Lonchura striata: one gene and its partner. The protein of the gene in region 2 interacts with the protein of the main gene of each other region in a pairwise test. Links are inferred from orthologs where the notes say so. Each region holds a gene or a part of one and is shown on either strand. Other genes may lie near its edges.

The links.
Region 1: the proteins of keratin, type I cytoskeletal 19-like (region 2) and OIP5 interact in binary tests that used the Homo sapiens proteins (3 or more experiments, as listed by UniProt). The two-hybrid records come from large-scale screens. The link is inferred for Lonchura striata from reciprocal best matches to the Homo sapiens genes KRT15 and OIP5.

Annotation. Positions count from the first base shown.
Region 1 is NC_134608.1:37,494,976-37,498,723, reverse strand, and holds the start of OIP5 (protein Mis18-beta), read right to left. Parts: upstream 2,459-3,748; 5' UTR 2,426-2,458; coding exon 2,110-2,425; intron 1,987-2,109; coding exon 1,920-1,986; intron 946-1,919; coding exon 823-945; intron 325-822; coding exon 243-324; intron 1-242. Other genes in the region: NUSAP1 (nucleolar and spindle-associated protein 1), read left to right, coding at 2,796-2,888. UniProt on the Homo sapiens protein: Required for recruitment of CENPA to centromeres and normal chromosome segregation during mitosis.
Region 2 is NC_134627.1:6,767,429-6,771,176, forward strand, and holds the start of keratin, type I cytoskeletal 19-like, read left to right. Parts: upstream 1-1,530; coding exon 1,531-2,058; intron 2,059-2,545; coding exon 2,546-2,628; intron 2,629-3,425; coding exon 3,426-3,582; intron 3,583-3,748.

The DNA of each region.
Region 1 (3,748 bases), on a different chromosome or scaffold from region 2:
AGGTATAAAGATAAAAGGATAACAAACTTTTGCCAAAATTTAACTAGAACTGGGTATGTTATGCAGTTTAGGGGTCTTAGAAAATGTTCATGTCTCATGCATTGAGTCAGTTATTGTCATATAAGGCAGCAGTTTCTCAGTCCTAAGCACTTAAAACCCCCACATTTGTATCAATGTTTTTGAATTAATGTCCAAAATTATCAGTATTTTAAAAGTATTTTCCATTATTGTGGAAATCTTACTTTCTGCATGTTTTCCTTTAAGGTCACAGCTGGAAAATTGACCTTAGAAGCTTCTACAATCATTTGATTTTTTAAGAGATAACTGGAAAACAAAACGGGAAAGGGAAAAAAAACACAGTTACAAAACCTGTAGTTGCACTATTTAGACAGATGATTTAAAATTATTTTAAATCAGATACAAGGTTGTTGCCAAAAGTAATAATTATGAAAATATTCAAAATACAGCAATGGTTTTACTTTGGAATCAAGATCCTCTCAGTAATTTACAGCTTCTGCAGTCAAGTTCTCAACCAATCAAATAATCACTTTGATACCTTACATTAGCTAAATGAATCTGGAACTGAAGAGATTTCAGCATTGCACACAACGAAGTATGAAGTCTTGCATTGCACAAGGACACTCAAGAGGTGCAAGGAAATCAAAGGGATTCACATCAACACAATTTAGTCATCAAGAATATTAATATCCCACACCAATGTGCTCAGACAGAAGTTAAACCACTTTTGTTAGCTGTAGGCTAGTTGTACAGTGACTTGAAACTACCTGTGAAGTCACTGACCATGGAATGCAGTGTACTCACCACATGATGCTGTCCTTGAAGAAACAGAACAAGTCCCGGAGATACACCAGGTCACTGCCAGAAGAGTAAAGAATGAAGCCCACAGCCGAGCCACAAGATCGACAGAATAATAAATAATAAGTACTAAAAGGAGAAAGGGAAGTGTTTTTAAACAGAAGCTTTTGAAACCACAGATATTGCATATTTGTCAGAGAGCATAAAATCTTCAGTTCCATTGGGAAAAAATCCAAGGCATAATAACGCATCCTCTTCAGAAAAGTAATATGTACAAAGTAGTATGACCATAAGAAATTGGGCATGTTGTGAAAGAAGCAATCTCTCAAATAAGTGAAGTTGCTGTTAAGGAAGAAAATGCACATCTTATTATCACAGAATGATTTACATATTCTACTCAAACATAATTTAAATAATAAAATAATGGATGCACCAGTTGAAAATTCTAATAAAATATATCATTACCCCATGCAGAGAGAGGGGCAAGGAAAAAAGTCAAAAAAAGAGCAAGTCTTATATTGAAGCAGTTCCCAGTTCTGACAGTTTATAAAACAGCTTTTAAAAATCATTTAAACAAGCTACTGGTTCTGTAAGCCCCTAGATGACATTTTACATTCTTCCCGTTAGACTGAGTTACCAAACCTTGCAAAAGATAGGTTCCTGAATGGGGCAGCACAAGTTTTTTATTTTCAGTATTAAGAAAAACCGACCAACCAATAGCCACCCCTCCCCGCAAAACCAAACCAAAGCAACCAAAAACCCACCAAACCAAACAAAACCCAGAGATGCTTTAAGCAAGAGACCTTTGAGGGAAGAGAAGAAAGGGACCTACAAGTTAAGCTGTATTCTACTGCATTGCTCGAATGTTTCTCTCCACCTACAGAGGTTATAGCAGCAAAAATCTCGATTTCAAGTGAGAACTACATCCCTACAAAAAGTATCTCCATCCGAGGTGTGAAACAGGCACAGAAGTCACTGGCAGTGACTTGCCAAACTCCTGAGCATCCCCGCGCACAGGCCGGAGAGCTCCCGGCTTCGTGCGCACGATTCACCGCGGCGGCCACTCGGGCAGGTCCGCTGCCGGAACTACGGGAGCTACGCACCATCCCAGGAGGGCTCCCTCGAGGCCGACCAACAGCGACTCTTCCCAGGTCACATCATTGGTGACTCCTGAGGAGAAAGAGAGACGCGCTGCAGCAGAGAGCCCCCGGACCAAGCCCCGCTGCCCGCCCCGAGGTCCGCGCGGGGCAGCGGCGCGTCCTCAGCACCAGCCGGCGCGGAGGAGGCACTGACTGAAGCAGATGAGGACGCTAAGCCCCGGCGGCTCTTGCCCGCACAGCTGCAGCGAGTCTCCCAGCACTGTCCAGCAGCCGCGGCAGTGGAACACGGCGCACTCCTCCGGCAGCGGACCCTGCTGCCGCGGCGGCGACGCCGGCACCTCGGCCGGCGGCACGGAAGACGGCGACAGGGGCGGCGGCCGGGGCGGCGTCCGGGGCGCCGACAGCGAGACGCAGGCGGTAGAGGCAAGGGCGGGCGCCCGCTCCAGCACAATGGCCCCGACGGTCTGCGGGTCCTGGAACAGCTGTCGCAGCCGCTGCCGCACCGCCATCTCCTCCCGCCAAGCGCTCGGGCGCGGGGCCCGCCCCCAAGCATCGTAAGCATCGTGATTGGAGCGTGGTGCGCACCTCTGTATTGCCATTGGACAGAAGGAGCGTCAATCCGCGCCGCCCGCGGCTATTGGGCAGCGGGCTGCACCGCGCGCGACTTTCTTTGCCGGGAACGCCTCATCGCGCTTGAAAATAAGCACGCGCGGCGGGCCGCGCCGCCATTGGCGGCTCCCTCGCTCCGCCCCCTTCGGCCACGCCCCTTCGGCGGCCCAGCCAATGGGCTGGCGCAGCGGGCCAGTTCGAACGGCGGGGGCGGCGCGAGCGGTGTCGGTTGGCGCGCGGCGGGCAGGCGGGTCGGTCGGAGCTGCTGTCATGGCGCTCGCTTCGCTGCAGCCCCTGGAGGCGCTGAAATACGCCGAGCTCCAGCGCATCGCCAAGGCCGCCGGGCTGAGGGCCAACCTGCGGGTGAGGCGGGGGCAGCTGCGAGGCAGCGCTGCCCACGAAGCTCCGGGTTCTGGGGTGCCCCCGTGCCCGGTAGCGTGACGTCCCCAGCCTCGCCGGGCGCACCTCCCGCGTCTGGAGCGGCGCCGGGGCGCCCCGGGGCTGTGCTGCCGTCCGGGAGGCGGGCAAGCACTCAGTGTGGGGAGAGAGCGGGGCTCCGGTGTCCCCCGGGCATCGAGAAGGGGAGGCCGCTCCCTTCTCTGCTGGCCCGGCTGTTCCCCACGCCGGTGACCCCGCGCTGTCCGCCGCCAGTGCGGATAGTTGTGTTTGTTTGGTTGGTTTGGTTTGTTTTTTTCCCTTACGACTCGGAGTGGGAGGAAGAGTGACAAGAGAGTACCTTAAGGGAGGAGATGCGTTTGGCGGGCGCGGTTAAGGGGTGAGAAGTTTAAGGATGCCCCAGGCTCCTGCCAGGAGCTGCAGGTGCTTGTGAGGCACGGCCGGGCTCCTCCTGGCAGCAATGGCACAGCTCGTAAAGCCTTAAAAGAAGGATCCACGGCTTGGGTGGACAAGGCAGCTCCCTGTCCTCACAGACCAAGAGTTTTTCTGGGAATGGTAGTTCTGGGGTACTTTGTTTGTTTTTGTGCTGACCTTTCCACTTAGGTGTTCAAGAGTCTTTCATAGCCTGGCTTATCAGTGGTGTGTTTTCATTGTTGTTTTGTTACTATCACTGTTGAATGCGTGACAGGGATGAAAAGAATGTTTTGCACGTAGCACGGGGCAAGACAGAAGCAATTGCAGAAATTTGACACAATTTTAATTCAAGTTCAGCTGCGCTATGGGGCTTAAAACAGTTTATCTCCTTCCTTGAATATTAACCCCCTGGA
Region 2 (3,748 bases):
GAAGGGCTGTGGCAAAGGGCCAGGTTCAGTTTGAAACATGTTTCCAGAGCAGTGAACACCCACCCATGTGCTCTGCTCAGCCTGCAGTGAGTGGCCATGCCCAGAGCCAGCCTGCAAGGTCACATCACAGCTGGACTGTGCCATTTCTTCCCTCCCAAGTGCACATCTCCAAGTGAAAATGCTGTGCATTCCTTGTGCCTGCATTAACATCTCAGCTGGAAATATCAGAAACCCCCCCGGTTTATTCCAACAACTCCCATTACACTGTGAGCCTTGGCTAATCCGAAATCCCAATCCTGAGTTCTAAACTCAGCTTCTGTACTGCCAAAGACTGTGCTAAAAACAATGCTCTTCTTAGGATGTTTTTAGCAAAACGTATCAGTTTTCTTCTTTGAGCTTTACTTGAGGTCCTGTGTTGTGCAGACAATGGGGTGCTCTGCAAACCCCACACTCTTCAAACCCCATGCCCAGCAGGGCACACGGGTAGCTCTTGCTTCCTCACACGCTGCCCAAATCTGTCTTCCCTGCAGGGTGAACAGGGCTGAATGAATGAATTCCTGAATTTCACTGGCAATTTATCAGCTCAATTATGTATTTCTGTTTAGACTCCTGCTTTAAATGAAGGATTAAGGTGCCTCTTTGAGTGTTTCTCAAGACTTATTTTCAAATACTACTCCATTTCCTTAAACACATTGGCATTAAACACATGTATTGCTATAAGAACAGCATTATCTTAAACCCATTCTCTTTATATTTTCTGTACAGTAACAGGATCTTAGTCCTCCCACATTTACTCTTTTAACTGAGTTGTTTCGAGCTGTGATACCTTTCTGAACTATTTCATAATGATTAATAAATTTACTGTTTCCACTCTCCCTTGCACACTGATGGATGCTGATTGTTCCTCACATAGTGCCATGAATAGATGCTTTTTGTAATAAAAATTCAGACTCCAAAAATCTAAATATTAGTTCCAAGAAAAAAATCAATAAGAACATTTCTAATTCAATTCCAAAATTTTAAAGGAAAAAAATACAGATAGAAAAGGAATAATGGTGAGATGAAGAGATGATTGTACATTTTTCAATGAAAAGAGAATTTTATTTAAGCCTCAATTTTAGAAAAAGTTGATTTTCTGAAGGTAGCCATGGTAAGCATTGTAAATAGGTAAGTGGGTGGGGCTGAACTCACTTTGTTTTTCCATTCTTAAATGTCAGAGAAGTAAACTCCAAGTTTCAGAACTATAGCCTGAAGAAAAAACATCATCTGATTCATGCCTTTTGTTTAATTAAAAAAAGAAACCCCAAGCCCAAGCCCCTGCGATGTGCTGCCAGCACTGCTTGTCAGGAATGTCATCATAGCTGGCCTCACCTCTAGGGAGGAGGAATTTTGGAGGGAGGGCTGCAGTGGGGTTTGTCTCCCAACGCCCGATCGTGAGCATATAAAAGAGGCACGAGGGCAGTGAAGGCACAGGCTGTCTTCTCTTGCCGGGCTGCATAACTGACCCTTGCTCCTGCTCTTGCTTCAGCCATGGCCACTTCCTTCATGAGCTCTTCCTCCACCTACGGGGGTGGCTTTGGGGGCGCCGGGGGCAGCAGCTCTCGCCTGTCCTCGGTGCGCGTCGGAGGCACCTGCCGGGCCCCGAGCATCCACGGCGGCTCTGGCGGCCGGGGTGTCTCCATCTCCTCAGCCAGGTACGTCTCCTCTTCAGGAGGAGGCTGCGGCTTTGGCGGGGGCTATGGAGGAGGTTTTGGAGGGGGAGCAGTCTGTGGCTTTGGAGGGGGCTCTGGCTTTGGAGGGGGCTCTGGCTTTGGTGGAGGATTTGACTTCAGTGGTGGCTTTGTTGGTGGCGATGGCCTCCTCTCTGGCAATGAGAAGATAACCATGCAGAACCTGAATGACCGGCTGGCTTCGTACCTGAACAAGGTACGAGCCCTGGAAGAGGCCAATTCAGAGTTAGAAGTGAAAATCCGAGACTGGTACCAGAAACAAGCTCCCACCAGCCCCGCCCGTGACTACAGCAATTACTACAAGATAATTGAAGAGCTCCGAGACAAGGTATGGCATTCATATGTAGAGGAGTTTTAAGAAGGCAAGAGAATTTTGGAACTGCATGTTCCATGTCTTTAAAATAATTACAAAAGAAGTAGTGAATTCCTCATCCCAAATACATCGAGGTCCAGAGCATTCTAGCAGAATGGAGTAGCCTCTTCTCAATTTAAACACAAATATCTTACCCTGACAATGTGATGTTTGTTGAAATTAAAATGATTGCAGTAAAAGTTAGCAAAATGTGTTTAGAATTATCAATATATTTATTCAGAAATCAAATAGTAAAGAATGTGACAGGTAGGCCTCAAAGACTGGAAAAATAATTCACCTGGCTACAGATAAGATCAGGTATAGTACAAACACATTTCCCATTTCCCTGTGGTTCTAATTTGTCTTGCATGGAGTATCACAGCTCTCTGGTTTGCTCATGGAATGTGGATCAGATATTTTACCATTATTCACAGGAATTTTTCTCTCTGTTTCTAATTGCCAGATCCTTGCTGCTACCATTGACAATTCCCGGGTCATTTTGGAGATTGACAATGCCAGGCTGGCTGCTGATGACTTTAGACTGAAGTAAGTTCACCTGAAGCTCATTTGTCTTCACTCTACTTGTCACTCTCTCTAAACAGTTTTTTCTTTAGTAACTTCAATACAAAACATCCTGGCAAGCAGAATCCATTGATGAAGGACCAATTCAGAGTATAAACCTGACAGAACACAGCATTCAGATCACTGAGCTGTTTGCAGGATCAGTTATAGCCTGTGTCTTCATTTTTTTGTGACACTCAAATATTTTTACTAGCCTGAATCACAGGGGAAAGAAGGCAGGAATAGGTGGGATTTTCACTTAGAAGGAACTGAGTGGGAGGAAGAGGTTGCTGTGGGGCTTCAGCATTTCTCTGCTGGAGTCTGAAATTTAGAGTCAGGTGGGGCTTTTGCAGCTCCCAGGCTCAGCAGCACATCAGATGATAAAGGTCCATGTGCAGCTGCCTTCCCGGCAGGAATGCACCTGCAGGTTTCTCTTTTCCCTCCTGTGTCCCCGGCAGCCCTGCCCCACCTGTGCTTTCCTACACAAATCTGGGATGACACTGCAAAACTCCTGTCCTGTGTGACAATGTTTCTATTGATGCTGATAATCAGTATTATGTTCTGCAAGGTGAAATGTCATGTCTCCCTCAAGAACAAAATCATATGGCTTTGTCTGTGCTTCCTTTATGCTGTATCTGGATATTGGAACAGCTTTATTGCTTTTACACTTCTAAATCTGTATCATCTACAGTCCACTGTTGCTCCCATATGTGATCATTTTATAGCTCTGTTGAATACAACCACAGAAACATTCCAGTGCTTGTTTCTTTTTTGAACTGCAGGTATGAGAATGAGCTGTTCCTGCGCCAGAACGTGGAGTCTGACATCAACGGCCTGCGCCGGGTCCTGGACGAGCTGACCCTGTCCAGAACTGACCTGGAGATGCAGATTGAGACACTGAAGGAGGAGCTGGCTTATCTGAAGAAGAACCACGAAGAGGTGAGAGTCCTGGCAGTGCATGGAGATCACTCCCCTTTGGATTTTAGCTCTTGCAAATGAAACATACATGTAAGTCACATGTAAATACGTGTGTCCTGTATGAGTACACAGAGATAGGGAAGCTGTTGTAATGAGAGAGAAAATGTGATAAGTGTTTTATGTGTGC